Rattus norvegicus: one gene and its partners. Each later gene encodes a partner of the first gene's protein in a complex. Links are inferred from orthologs where the notes say so. Each region holds a gene or a part of one and is shown in the gene's direction. Other genes may lie near its edges. The genes, in order: S100b, Capza1 and Capza2.

Evidence for each region.
Region 2: the proteins of S100b (region 1) and Capza1 are in contact, whole or in part, in an NMR structure (PDB 1MQ1), measured with the Homo sapiens proteins. The link is inferred for Rattus norvegicus from reciprocal best matches to the Homo sapiens genes S100B and CAPZA1. Residues at the interface, in NP_006263.1 of Homo sapiens: Glu46, Glu47, Lys49, Val53, Lys56, Val57, Thr60, Phe77, Met80, Val81, Ala84, Cys85, Glu87; in NP_006126.1 of Homo sapiens: Thr265, Arg266, Ile269, Asp270, Trp271, Asn272, Lys273, Ile274, Leu275.
Region 3: the proteins of S100b (region 1) and Capza2 are in contact, whole or in part, in a crystal structure (PDB 3RM1), measured with the Bos taurus proteins. The link is inferred for Rattus norvegicus from reciprocal best matches to the Homo sapiens genes S100B and CAPZA2. Residues at the interface, in NP_001029727.1 of Bos taurus: Ile37, His43, Phe44, Leu45, Glu46, Ile48, Lys56, Val57, Thr60, Phe77, Met80, Ile81, Ala84, Cys85, Phe88; in NP_001013016.1 of Bos taurus: Thr267, Lys268, Ile269, Trp271, Ile274, Leu275.

The regions. Positions count from the first base shown.
Region 1 is NC_086038.1:12,378,003-12,382,928, reverse strand, and holds the start of S100b (protein S100-B), read left to right. Parts: upstream 1-1,847; 5' UTR 1,848-1,959; exon of another isoform or gene 1,960-3,010; intron 3,011-3,719; exon of another isoform or gene 3,720-3,835; intron 3,836-4,926. UniProt on the Homo sapiens protein: Small zinc- and- and calcium-binding protein that is highly expressed in astrocytes and constitutes one of the most abundant soluble proteins in brain.
Region 2 is NC_086020.1:195,049,792-195,054,730, reverse strand, and holds the start of Capza1 (F-actin-capping protein subunit alpha-1), read left to right. Parts: upstream 1-1,630; 5' UTR 1,631-1,917; coding exon 1,918-1,956; intron 1,957-4,939. Other genes in the region: St7l (suppressor of tumorigenicity 7 protein-like), read right to left, coding at 980-1,193. UniProt on the Homo sapiens protein: F-actin-capping proteins bind in a Ca(2+)-independent manner to the fast growing ends of actin filaments (barbed end) thereby blocking the exchange of subunits at these ends.
Region 3 is NC_086022.1:46,960,810-46,964,986, forward strand, and holds part of Capza2 (F-actin-capping protein subunit alpha-2), read left to right. Parts: intron 1-2,071; coding exon 2,072-2,278; intron 2,279-3,009; coding exon 3,010-3,089; intron 3,090-4,177. UniProt on the Homo sapiens protein: F-actin-capping proteins bind in a Ca(2+)-independent manner to the fast growing ends of actin filaments (barbed end) thereby blocking the exchange of subunits at these ends.

The DNA.
Region 1 (4,926 bases):
TAAATCTCTTTAAAAAAAAAAGATGTTAAAGACATCTTGGCTGTGCTGGTGTGCATCTGTAATCCCAGCACTTGGGTGGGTCGATCTCTGCATTCCAGACGAACCTGGTCTACAGAGCGAGTTCCTGGACCGCCAAGTCCAGAGAGAAAACCCCTGTCTCAAAAAAACCTGAATAAATATAAATAATAAGTAAATAATTAATAAATAATAAAAACTTAAGGCCAGTTCCCTTGGTGATCGATGCAGTCTGGAACTTTCCTTCATTCTGTCAGCTGCCCTCCCTCGTTATCCGGAGCTGGCGTCTTCTGTCAGAGACTGTCAGCACCTTTACTTCCCGCTCAGGCTCAGTGGGAGCCATGTTGGTGTCCCTGCCTTAGATGTGTCTGGGAGCGGCAGAGATCTCTCCTACTCTCACTGGGGTGTAGGGATTGCTTTCACATCTCTGACTTTGGATCTTCCACTGCCATACCTCGGCGGCCCGTCTTGCTCTCCAACTGTCACTTCACTTTCTTGAGTGTGCCTTCTTTCCAGGATGTAGAACTCTTTGTCCACTCCATAGGACTCCTGTAACATTTGTGGGGGCTTGTCTGGGATCTGAAGATCAACACACACATACACACACACTCACGCACGCACGCATGCACACACGTGTGTATGTTCATGCACTCGGGTTTGAAGATCTCTACTTAAAGTCAGTGTAACTGACTGAAGACAGCTAGGGAGGGGTCAGAGAAGCCTCGATCATCCGGTACCCCAAGCGACATCACAAAGTAAGGGTCTCTTCCCAGCCATGATTATCATAACCGTCTCCCCCAGTCAGCTCCCTTTTATTGTCTATTGATGACTAAGAAGATTAGGGGACCTAATCTTTGGGGACCAGTGGCTTTGATCTCCTATAGATAAATGGTGAGTCGAACCAGAGCAGGGGTTTATACCTCCACCCCAAAGCTAACCTTTCCTCAAGAAAAGGTTACATTCCAGGGCAGGAAAACTTCATTCTACCTCTAGCATGTCGAGTCAACTTCTTGGTCTCTGTGATATTTGGGTGACTTTTGTCATGTAGCTCTTCCCACAGACACTCCGGACTCGAGGTGCAAAGGGACGTGTGTGACTAAGCTATCCTCCACTGGGGAGTCTTCTGGGTTAGTTTTGTGCCTTTGTGACAAGAGGCACAGCGTTTCTTCCCTATGTGAAAAGAGCACAGGACGGGCCATCTCTAAAGCATTTCTGGTGCAGACAGCTCAACCTTTGACCAGGGTGAGAAGGGAGAGAGGCCTAAGACACAGCTGGCGTGTCTTTCCCTCTGTGCAAAAGTACTAAGTTAGAAAGAAACTTACCGCACCCTGGTCCCTGAGAAGACTGGGTTCAAAGAGGAGTCTGGGGGTAACCACTGCCCAGCATCACCAGCCACAGCATGGCATACCTGTAGGAGGGGACCAGAAAGCTGGCAGGCAGGCAAGATGCTCAAGAGGCCTCCTTGGAAGCCAGCCATAGCCACACAGCCTCCAGCACTCAGCACCAGAAGTTTCCAGTTCTTGGCTGCGTATCTGCTGTTTGAATCAATTCACCCACGCTGTCTCTCCCCTCTTCCCACCAGCCCCCCAATCTTGCCTCTGGAACAGCATCAATATTCATATCCTAAATTTAAACGGCACAGAGAAGCTGACTCCACATTTCCTGCCCAACAGACCCATATTCTTTCTAGATCAGATCCAATTGTGGCTGCCCAGTGGGTCCCCAGGGTACCACTCAATGGGGCCCTGTATGCAGGCCCGGTGGTTGTCCAGCTCCTCCCTAACCTTGGCCCCTATTGGCAGTCGCAGTCTCAGCCTGCAGCGGACTGCGCCAAGTCCACACCCAGTCCTCTCTGGAGGAAGAAAAAGGAGCTTCTCTGTCTACCCTCCTAGTCCTCGGACACCGAAGCCAGAGAGGACTCCGGCGGCAAAAGGTGACCAGGAGGTGAGAAAGAGTCACTGGCAGGACCCAAGAAAAACCGCTTCTTTCTCTCTTTGCAGGGTGAGGGGGTGAAGGGGATAGGATGGGAATTGAGCTTTGAAACTTTTTAGAAAACCTTTGGGGACGTTTGGCTGCATTCCAAGGCTTCCGATGAGGCCGCCTTTCTTGTTTCCTTGTGACAGTTGTTGACATCTGTGCTGCCATGGAATTGTGTCTGTCCCTGTTTTCGTGAAGCCAGAGATCCCTTGGGTCATTTTTTCAAGATTCAGAATGACTACTGATGTTTTCAGAGATGGCATCTAGGGCTTCTTCTCTACGTCCTAAGGGAAGGATTTTCTTTCTTGGAATAGAGTCACCCCAAATCCCCAACCACAGCGCTCCCTTTCTCCTGGTAGCTTTTCCCGGGGGTCCCTGGAGCACCCAGGTGAGCTTTTCCAGTTTCCCTCTTTGAAATGCCAAGAACTACATCTCCAGACACCGCTCAAAAAAAAAAATTGCAAAGTAGTTGAATCTTTTCAGATCATTATGAATTGGGGCAGAGAAATGAGGGTTTGGGAGTGGCCCTGACTTCTCTGTTACCCCTCCTGGGGAGGGGCAGTCTTTGTGGGGAACCCCTCCCCGGACAGGCAGTACCATTCCAAGAAGCTCAAGCCCTGTGTTTTCTTTATAAAGTCTCCTCCATTTGTCTTAGGAGACAGACAACTAACTTCTTTAGTTGAAAGAATAGGGGAAAATTTGGAATGTCTAATGTAGTCGTGAGAAAACTCAAATTTTACGGACTTTCCTAGCACATGGGATGTGGTGTGACACCGTTTGTTCTTAAGCCTTAGTCCTTATCCACAAAAAGATCATTTAGCCTTTCCCTCCCCCAGCCGTTAGGACTTTGAGCAATATCAGTATGATGCAGAGTTTCTGGAGACTTTTTTTTTTTAAATCAATAACTGTGCTGGGTACGAGCCAACCCTCGGGAGAGTAGAGGCAAGAAGATCATGATTTAGGAGAAAACTTGGGGACAGTGAGACCTCGTGTCAATCTGAAAAGGAAAAACAGGCAGGTAATTCTGCGCCTGGCTTCTCCTCCCCTCCCCTCCTCTCCCCTCCCCTCCCCTCCCCTCCTCTCCCCTCCCCTCCCTTCCCCTCTTTTCCCCTCCCTTCCCCACCACTCTTTTCATGCCACTAAATGTTTCATAAAAAAACCAAACAAAGAAAAACAGTAACCAGGGGCGTTGGGGATTTAGCTCAGTGGTAGAGCGCTTGCCTAGCACTTTGCCAGCTCCGAAAAAAAGAAAAAAAAGAAAAGAGGAAAAAAAAAAAAAAAAGGTAACCAGGGCTGGAGAGATGGCTCAGCCCAGCATCCACACTGGCAGCTCACAACTGCCTGTCACTCCAGTTCCAGGGGATCTGACACTCTCCCAGCCTCTCTGTGGGCACCATGCATGCTCACACATACCAGCCTGCAAAACACCCAGACACACACGCGTTTCTTTTCTTCTTCTTCTTCTTCTTCTTCTTCTTCTTCTTCTTCTTCTTCTTCTTCTTCTTCTTCTTCTTCTTCTTCTTTTCTTCTTCTTCTTCTTTTTCTTTTTTCTTTTTTCTTTTTTTCGGAGCTGGGGACCGAACCCAGGGCCTTGCTCTTGCTAGGCAAGCACTCTACCACTGAGCTAAATCCCCAACCCCACGAGTTTCTTTTTAGCTAAAAGACCAACAAGAACGGAAAACACAAGTTAAGAAACCAAGAGAGAGCATCACCTCTTATCCCTTCAGGTTCTATTTATGGGAGGTACTTCAGGTATCTGGAAAAGACGAGCAAACTGAGGAACCAGAGGGTCAACAAAGGCCAAAAACCTTCCTTTCTCTTGCTGAGATCGTTCATAAAAAATGTAAGAAGTTACTAAAATCTAATATGTTCATCATGGAAATGACTTTTGAGTGTCTTTTGTTTGTTTACTTATGACGGTGCAGATTCTGGCTTAAGGATCAGAACTCAAGGCCAGGAGCTGTCTCTGCCTAAGTAGCTGGTCTCTGAAATGAGCCCAAGGCCGCCTCTCTCTCAGAGAGTTGAGCAGCCATCCCCGATTCCCCAGGCTGTGGCTGCTGCATCAGGTGCTCTCTTGAAGGCTGTTTGCTTCTCGCAGGCACGCATGCCTGTTCACAAAGAAGCTGCTGTACTCTGAGGCCAGGCTAATGAGTAAGCACAGAACGCTGGGCTGTGCCTTGGTCTCCCTTTGTCAGCATGCCAGGAGAATCATATGACCTTGGAGTCCGTGTTGCTGCAAGGTCGCTTCACTGTTACTTTTCAAAACAGTTGGTACAGGGATACCTTTAATCCGGATGAATTTTACAGTCTACTTTTTTTTTTTTTTTTTTTTTTGGAGCTGGGGACCGAACCCAGGGCCTTGTGCTTGCTAGGCAAGCGCCCTACCACTGAGCTAAATCCCCAACCCCTCAGTCTATTTTTTTTGTTTGCCCCCACCTCATCCAAAAAAAACCTCATGTTTTTATTTAAAATCTTAAACGGATATATTAATTCATATGAAAATGAGCTTTGTTAGGTCTTTTTTTAAAGGTATTTATTTATTTTATGTATGTGAGTACACTGTCACTGTCTTCAGACACACCAGAAGAGGGCATCTGATCCCATTACAGATGGTTGTGAGCCACCAAGTGGTTGCTGGGAATTGAACTTAGGACCTTTGGAAGAGCAGTCAGGGCTCTCGAGCACTGAGCCAGCTCTCCAATCCCTTTGTTAGGGTTTTGTTACTGCAATGAAACACCTTGACCAAAAAGCAAGTGGGGGAGGAAAGGGTTAATTCAGCTTATACTTCTGCGCCACAGTCCATCATCACTGGGATTCAGGACAGGAACCCAAGCAGGGCAGGATCCTGAGGGCAGGAACTGATGCAGAGGCCATGGAGGGGTGCTGCTTACTGGCTTGCTCAGCCTGCTTTCTTATAGAATCCAGGACTACCGG
Region 2 (4,939 bases), on another chromosome or scaffold:
TTATATCCTGGCCTCAAGACAACAACAGTAGAAAAATAAATGAACAACTCAATGAACAGCATTTTAATGAGCACACAAATTACGTCATGAAACTATTACAGATAAATTAGACCGTATGTGGTGCCTGTCCTCTAAAATACCCAAAGCATTTTAGAGCACTATCCTATGGTCTTTCATGTCATCTCATGGGACTCTCTAATAGAAATATTTCCACCTTCTGAGGCTGCAGAAATAAATTCTGCAATAACACCACAAAAGGTCCAGGACCCCATCTTTTCATCCTGCCTATGGCTAAGGAATAGCATTTGCAGAATCTGCATGGATCAACACTGTTTACAAATTTTATCTTTAGCCCAGGCCCCGTGACACTGTACAACTGCGGAAGGAAAATACTAAACAACCTCACTGTTGTCAGTGCTTCTCTCTCCTCTCTCTCTTTCCTGTACTATCTTATTACTCATAACAAAGTCTGAAGGATAAAAATATTACGAAAAACGTTTCTTAATTGAACCGTCTTACAATAAAAGTATGATCCACTAAAATCATAGCATTTTCTATCTTGTATTACAGATATGCTTATCTTAGGTTTCTGGTGTAGGTTAAGTTCAGCAGCTGGAGACTCAATGGTACGGTTTTTCAAAGAGCCCTGCAAGCAATAAGAATGTATATACATTGTGTGTACCTATCTGGGAATGCTCTCTTCTGCCTTACTACCTGAAGCTTGCAGCTTGACAGGTAGCTTTTCCGGTGGTAACGTAGGCAGAACAGAGAGGGCGAACCTTCAGAGCTCTAGGGAGGGGCCGGTAAACTGCAGCACAGGTTTAACAATTAGCTGCCGGGTTGCTGTGGCCCAAAAGAAAAAATAAACCCACTGGAGCATGCAACACCAATTTCCTTCTGCAAAGCCCTCCATGACTCCCTGAGAATCTCTGATCTTTGGTGCTTGTCCCCGACTGTCCAGGAGGTTTGGGCCTCTCACCCGCTGTCACGTTGTCACACAGCCTCAGCGGGACCCTCAGAGCGTAAAGCAGCCCCAGCCCCGCCAGGAACCACAGCGTGGACCCAGAGTTCGCCAGCCCGGCCTTCAGCCGCTCTTTCCAGCCCAGCGGCGGGCCCAGGCCCAAGCCGGGAACAGGTGCATGGGGACACCCCACAGCCCGCGCGGCTTCCGCGAAGTAGTCTCCGTCCGCCATCTTGCGTCTCCGGCAGGCGCCGGGACCTGGGAGGGGAGAAGGGCCGGAAACCCGGAGTTGGGAATCCTGGGATAGTGGCGGACTTGAAGCTGGCCTCTGTCTAGGCTGAGTCCTGGGGAATTGGACGGAGGTCTGGAAGGTGGCGGAACGCCTGGAAGGTGGCCTACTCTGGGGCTACCTAGTCCTCTAGGAGGGCGGGGAAGGATCCGATGGTGGCACTTATTCTGCAGGAAACGGACTCAATGTGGCGCTGGAGAGAAGTGGTTTTGGTTCCGTACGTGGTTGGGGGTCACCTTTCGCCCTGTGCCGGCGTTGGAAAAGTACTGATGTCTCCTAGAGCCGAGCAGCTCTTAGTGCACTGGACTCGGCGGCCTACGAGACCAACGGGATCAGGAAAACTTCTAGGTGTAGCAACTGCTACTTGACCAGAGGGAGCCCAGGCGCCATGGACAGTCGAGACACGCCACCAAGCATTCCAGGACGAATGGGAAAGTGACTGAAACCCAGTGAGAAAGATGTTAAGACTGCAAAACCCTGAGGGGAAAGTCGACTTCCTAGAGCGCTCCCACCCTAAGCTGTCACGCCCGCGCGGAACTGACATGGCGCCCTCTTGGCCGGAGCTTCCGGGCGGGTCCTTCTGACGGCCCCCTCGGTGATTCCACCACTCAGCTTCCTTCCCGGCTTGCCTCGCGCCGGCCCGCCGGGCTGGGCCAGAGCAGCCAAGATGGCCGACTTCGAGGATCGGGTGTCGGATGAGGAGAAGGTAAGGGGTCCGCCTCTTTTACTTCCTCCCCCGACGAGGCCCAGGGGTCCGAGCCGGCAGCAGTGGGAAACCTGGTGGTGACCCCTGGAAAAAGAAGGTTGTTTCCCGGTGCTAGCATATTCCCTCTGCATCCGGGACGCTTCCTTCCTTAAAGGAGATTTCGTTTGCCTCACGGTGGCCCCAGTCCCCCATTCCTCAACTCTTCTTTTCATTCCGGACCGAACACAACCTTCCTTCAAAAGAGGAGACACTTTGTCTGATTGACTTAACTGTAGACTCTTTACTGTGTAAGAGAGGAGGAGAATGTGATGTCGGGACGTGTCAGGCAGCAGTTATTTTACCGCCTTTGGCTGTTGGGGCTCACCCCATCCCCCCATTTATAGGTATGATTGGGGTTAGTTTAGAACGAGTCACTTCCTGATCAGAGTGGCCTCCTTAACTTCCCTTTTGCTCCTCCTTCCTCAGGAAGTGATTTTGCTGTCAGGACTCCTTGTCAGGGAGAGGTCCTCTGGTGTTGCCTGTCCACCTAACCTACACACCCTCATCTTTTCTTAACTACTGACGACTAAACTAATTGGATAAAAATAAATCAGTAAACCTCAAGGGATTTGCTTAAGAATTTGACGAACACCTTTATTCTGCTTATGCTCTCTTGTGTGCACGTTTAGCCCCAAGGTGACTCCGACTCTTCTGTTTTAACTATAATTTTTTTTCAAAGTAGTTTTTTTTACTTCCGGTTAAACCGTGAGAAGTAGGCAACAGACTTGTTTCAACTCCAGAAAGGTTATGTAGCAAATAAACCTCACATTTAACACATTCAGTTTGGATGAAACACCCAACCCTTTTTTGATGACCAACTGTAGTGCTTTATAGCTGGGGTTGTCAGAATGTCGTTTGTGTGCCTAGATCTTTAAAGGTGTTTTAAATACAAGGGTGTATCCCAAATTTGATAGGATAACTTTTCCTGACAACCACATATATTTGCTAAACAGTTTGTTCAAAAAGGAAAGAAGTGCCAGGTTCTTCCATAAACACAGAATCTTAGGGTGGCTAGAAGTTAAAATGGTTTCACTAGATAACTACTTATGGGACAAGAATGTGTCTTTTGTTTCCTGCAGTGCCTGTTAGCAAAGTATGTGCCCTCCGGTGTTCTATAAAATCTGCCTGGGTTCTTTTTTGTTGTTTTGTTTTGTTTGTTTTTTATTAGATGTATTTCTTTACTTACATTTCAAATGTTATTCCCTTTCCCAGTTTCCTGTCCATAAGCCCCCATTACCTCCCATCCACCCCCCATACGGGTGTTCCCCCCATCCATCCCCCTTACCGCCCCCCCCCATTCCCCTGCACTGGGGGGGTCCAACCGATTGTTGGGGGGGGAACAGATTATTTTTGATCACTTCTTCAAAAAGAATAACTTAATATATACCTGTGTAAGAATGAGCCACTGTCTTTAAATGCTGAAAAGGGTGCTTAGCACCTTTATAAACACTTAACAGGGACCAGGATGGCAGTTTGTTACTAGAGTACTTAACATGTGCAACATCCTGTGTTTGAACTTCATTGTTAGTAGGACAAAAACTAAAAAGCCACCAAATAACACTTTAGTATTGGTTTCTCTTATTTGAACATTGAGTATTATAAATATTAAAGACCTAAGAAATCAAAACTCACACAAAGAAAACTATGACAACGTTTATTATAAAACAAATACTTTTGGTTCACATAACATTAAGTTAGAGTGAAACTTTATTCTATTTCTTGAGACTGTGTCTTATGTGGCTCATGTAAACCTCTAACTCACTATACAGCCAAGAATGACCCCAACCCTAATCTGCCAGGCTTTCTCAAATGGTGCTAGGCACATACCATGATACTTAACTTTATTGCTTAGTTTTAATAATGATAAACAAGCCAGTAATAAGTAGTAAGTCTGCTGATAAATTGCTGATAAATCCTATTCCTATTTTAGTAAAGAGCTTTTGATGTTTTGTATTTGGGGGACAGATTCTTGTTATATATCCCTAGCTGATCTGAAACTTGTTCTGTAGACTGGTCTGATCTCCAATTTGCCCTCCTGTCTTTGCCTCCCATGGTTCTAGGTTTAATAGAGATTTTTTTATTTGTTTTGTTTTTGTTTTTTATTAATTGACTACATTGTCTTTATCAATGTAGATATGTAGTATAATGATACAGTAAAATCCCTATGCTTTGATCCAGGCATGGTGGTGCATGCCCTTAATCCAAACATTCAGGAGGCAGAAACAGGCAGATCTCTGAGTTTGAGGCCAACCGTGACTACATAGTGAGTTCCAGGACTACATAAAGAGACCCTAGTAACTTGAGATTCCTGTAATTTTATTAGATTCCTTTCCTCAGAGTTGACAGGCACATTCACATCTCTCTAAATCTATGACTATAAAGAAAGGCTTTCTGGGTGGAAGTGATGCTGGGACACATCTTTAATTCCAGCACTGGGAGGCAGATTTCTGTGAGTTCGAGGCTAGCCTGGTCTACAGAGGAAGTTCTAGGACAGCCAAGAACCTTGTCTTGAAAAGAAGGAAAAGAAAGGGCTTTGTAAGACTTCTTGATTTTTGAGCTTCTTACCTACTTTGCCTGCTTTTCCTTCTAATCTTTAATTGATTCTTAACAGAAATTGAAAAGCTAGCGGAAAAGGCTGGTCCTGGTGGTACCTGTCCATAATAATTTCAGCTCTTGAGAGATAAAGGCAAAAAGAATTAGGAATTCATGCCCATGCTTAGCTACATAAATGAGATCCCTTTCTCAAAAAATAAAATGTTTTGCAGTGGGGTGTGTGTGTATGTGTCTGTCTGTCTGTGTCTGTGAAAAGATTATACTAATCTTGAATGTCTTGAGATTCATAAGCAAGTAGCCCTGATGATATTTTTGCAGTAATTGTTTGTTTGTTTACTTTGATTTGTTGAGACAGTCTGAATTCTGTAGCTCAAGCTGATGTGGAACTCAC
Region 3 (4,177 bases), on another chromosome or scaffold:
TGGCCTCCATGGGCCGCTGCATTCACATGAACAGGCAGGGGTACTCATACATACACATAATTGCACACTTGTTATTGTTTCATTTCTCCAGAGATTGAATAGGTTACCATTACAAACAGTATTATATCAAATGTCTTTATATTCCTGGTAACATTGACAATGGTTTTCTTTAGATAAATCCTTAGAAGAAAATTTGCTGCATTAATGAAAACATCTTTTAAAAATGTTTAATGGCTGCTAAAGTTATTTTAACAGATTAGCTTAAAAACTTAGTTAATACTTAAAACCAAAAACTTCCTTAGAGAGTGGTGTACACTAACTTTACACATGAGCATATGTTTAAAAGCTAAAGATGGTAACAAGAGCCAGTGGGCTGGTTCCTCGGTAAAGGCACTTGCTGTGCAAACCCGGTGACCTGATTTTGATCCCTGGAACCCACAGTAGAACAAATAACCTGACTCTGAGAAGCTGTCTTCTGTACCATTGGCTATGTCTAAAGTAAATTTTTAAAGTTATCTGTTGTAAATAAAAACAATAAGAAAAAAAAAAAAAACAATGATAAGGATTTACAACAAAACTTCACCATTTTTTAATGGTGCTTTCTCCTCCGGAAAAGACTTATAAACACTTGTAAATAAAGAGATGACATATCAGTAATAGATTTGTGGATTAAATTATACTATTAACATCCTGGGATATTATGCAACTAGTAAAGAAAATAGTGAGAGATTGCTAGTAGAGGGTTTCCATAGATGTTTATGTATAGAAAATGTCAAGTATGTGTGGATTAAGAAGAGAGCAGAGCCTGTTTTAGCCAAAAGGCAAAGCTTTCTTCAGGGTACAAACTGCTGGTTTGTCCCCAAGTGAAGGAGATGTAGCACTGCCACAAAGGAGCTTGGGGTCTTATAGGGTACTTTTAGTTGGGCAGAGTGGCAAGAGAGCATTAAGGAAAAGGAGCTGCATATAGTTTGCCTGGGGTCGTGGTCAGGGGTCCTCTGGCTGTTAGGATAGCAGAAGGCTATAGTCAAGGTCTGTTAAGATAAGAGGTTAGTGGACTTCCAAGTAGTAGAGAACATTCAACTTCCATTTCCCCAATGAGGTGGGGTCACACATTGTCATCCATCTTGGTGCCTTACATGATTACATGTTGGGCCAAAGCTCTGGGCCAACCCAGCAAATTCATAAAGATGTATATGTTTGTATAATTTTATCATTTTTGAAAACAATGACCCACAAACCATGTATGTGTGAGGATAAATAGATAGGTGTGCATATTTATCTAATGTGGCATTTTATTACCAAAACATTTTTACAAAGTTAATTGTTATGTTGTCAGCACGATTTATACCAGAAGGATGGGTAAGTCTTGTAGGTCAGCATTTACTAGCTAGGACAGCTACAGGAGAAAAGGGTTTTTGTTTTTAAGTAAGATACAAAGTAAAAGGCTTATTCATATATTAAATGTATATAAATACATAAGTTATGTTTTACATTTTTGGAAGTTAGTAGTGATTAGTTTTTAAGAAACGAGCACATTTGGGGAACAGAAAGACTGAGCGCCACACAGGGCTAAAGGGCTGCCTCACTGATTAAACTATTGATTGATAAGGCCTCAGGTTTTAAGGATTAAACCATCAGATTGATAAGGCCTCGGTTCTTAAGGATTCTTGGCTGCCATCAGAAATAGTAAACTGCCTCTTTGAGTGGGTAGGTAGATCGATAAATGGAGGTCATCTCCAACACTTTCCCCACTCAGTATCCAAAAATCGTTTGGAAAGATATGTTAATGTATACTAAGAGAGAATACCCTCAGTATCCTTGTGCCTACTCTCCCCCACCCCCCAACCTGGAGCTGAGGACCAAACCCAGGGCCTTGTGCTTGCCAGGCAAGCATTCTACCACTGAGCTAAATCCCCAACCCTGTGCCTACTCTTTTAAAATATATTTTCACAGTATAATTTAAGCAATTGTTTCAGTGTAATTGTACAGTTTCAGAAAGGGTCTTAAAGCAAATATTTATTACTGTGTGTTCATGTTAATATTTTTTCCTAAATTTATTTGAAAATTGAAGGTCTTGATAACAGAACATGGAGACTTGGGAAATGGAAAATTTTTGGATCCAAAAAACAGAATCTGTTTCAAATTTGATCATTTAAGAAAAGAAGCAACTGATCCAAGGCCCTATGAAGCAGAAAATGCCATTGAATCCTGGAGAACTTCAGTAGAAACTGCACTGCGAGCTTATGTAAAAGAGCATTATCCCAATGGGGTCTGCACTGTGAGTCGTCAGTGGGCTGTTCTTCCCTGTTGTTTCTTATACAGATGTGCCAGTTTATAGAATTCCTTGAAATAATAGAAGTATATAGAACTAACAGCTTATAGCTTCTAACTTTTTTCTTTCAAGAATGTTTATCTTTCTAAATAAAATTTATTATGATAGCCCCAAACGGTAAACTAATTGTATGTTAAGTTAAATTCAGATAGACACTGGATTAAAGGATATGATGGTGCTCTCTTTAGTCATCTTCCCATGTTCAGCTTAAATTAACTTTTATTTAGTTACAGAAATCTTAAGAGAATCATTTCAGTTTATACCTTAATTTCCTGTTGTTTTAATGTTATTTGTTCATTGATTTAACTTTTTTTTTCAGAATGAAATATAATAGTATAACTAAATGGGTTTGTTTTTTAATTTTCCTAAGATTGTAACCAGATAGGCTCTTCAGCATCTGAGTTTGGTCTTCTCCAGAGCCATAGTGAGCTTTCAAAATGCACATGAGATCCTGAAAAAGCCTCTGCTTGGAATCTTTCAGAGGCTTAGGGTAGAATCCAGGCATCTGAGAGAGATTTGTGAAGCCATGTGGCCTTGGTTCTGTTTACCTGTCCAACCTAAAATTACCATACATCATAGTTATGCCCACTTTCTGTGGTATCTTATAGATACTTAAAGGGGGACATTGTTTGGCCTTAACTAAACTCACTGTTGTTCTTGTTTTCTTTGCCAATAAGGTGTATGGCAAAAAAGTAGATGGGCAGCAAACCATTATTGCATGCATCGAAAGCCATCAGTTTCAAGCAAAAAACTTTTGGTAAGTTAAAGTTTTTGTTCACTTAATTTTAACAATGTTTATAGTCCATATAACTTAGACTGTACCTTCTGTGTGACTGTGTGACTAAGAGCAATGTAAACTTGATAAATAAAACTGCTGTCCTTTGAGAATTTGAAAGATACTTGCTTCATAATGATGATCTGAGTCATTAGAGTGCAGTAAAGCCTTTGACACTCACCAAAGAGTGTAGGAGAGCAGAGTGATTGGGAAGGGAACTGGCAGCAACTTAAGCAAGTGTGTGTGCTTGCAAACAGACCAGGTAGCACCCCATCTGCTCATTCTGAAAATGGGGTGTTCTTGTGTCTTACTCAAGAGAGGGGGACAGAAGCAGTTTAAAAAAAAAAATAACTAAGAACCAGGAGTCTTCTTTAAATTTGGGAACTTTAGGTTAGTGGATTTTTTTCTAGATAGTGTTCTTTTGGACAGTGTGAGAAGGTAGAATTACAGTCATGCTTTGTAACTGCATATATAATAGTTATTTGTACAAAAATCTGCCTTCCCCATGGTGATATATCAGGTGTTTAGAACATTGCTGAACTTTATTCTGAATTTGTATATCATAAAATTCTAAGGTTCTCTAAGATGTTTATTAGTTTAAACTGAAAGTTTGGGCCACCAACTTTCACACATGATGGATATCAGTAAAAATGATGAAAATGTTTAGATTTAATGTTTTGACTCACTAAGTTGTTTACGGTACTCTTGAGAGTAAAGTTACTAGTGTCAGTAACCCCAGTTAGACCAGTTTAGGCTCTAACCAAGGCTGTTCACTACTTTGTCATGTCAGAAATCAATGCCAGGTTATACAAAAAGCTAACCAAAAATATTTGGTGGAATGCAGATCCATCATCCATATCTAAACATAGGCCTAAATGACAGACTACAGCTTCTTAAAGATAGTGACCTTACAGGTTAGTTTCCTTATCTTATCTGTATAATCCTAAACCAAGAAATCTTTGGAAATTATTTATATATTTGTACCAGGAAATAATAATAAATCAACAGTTGAGCTTGACCTATTAAAGAGAAAATTTAACTAAGTTTTACTTATAAATCTTTGGGGAGAC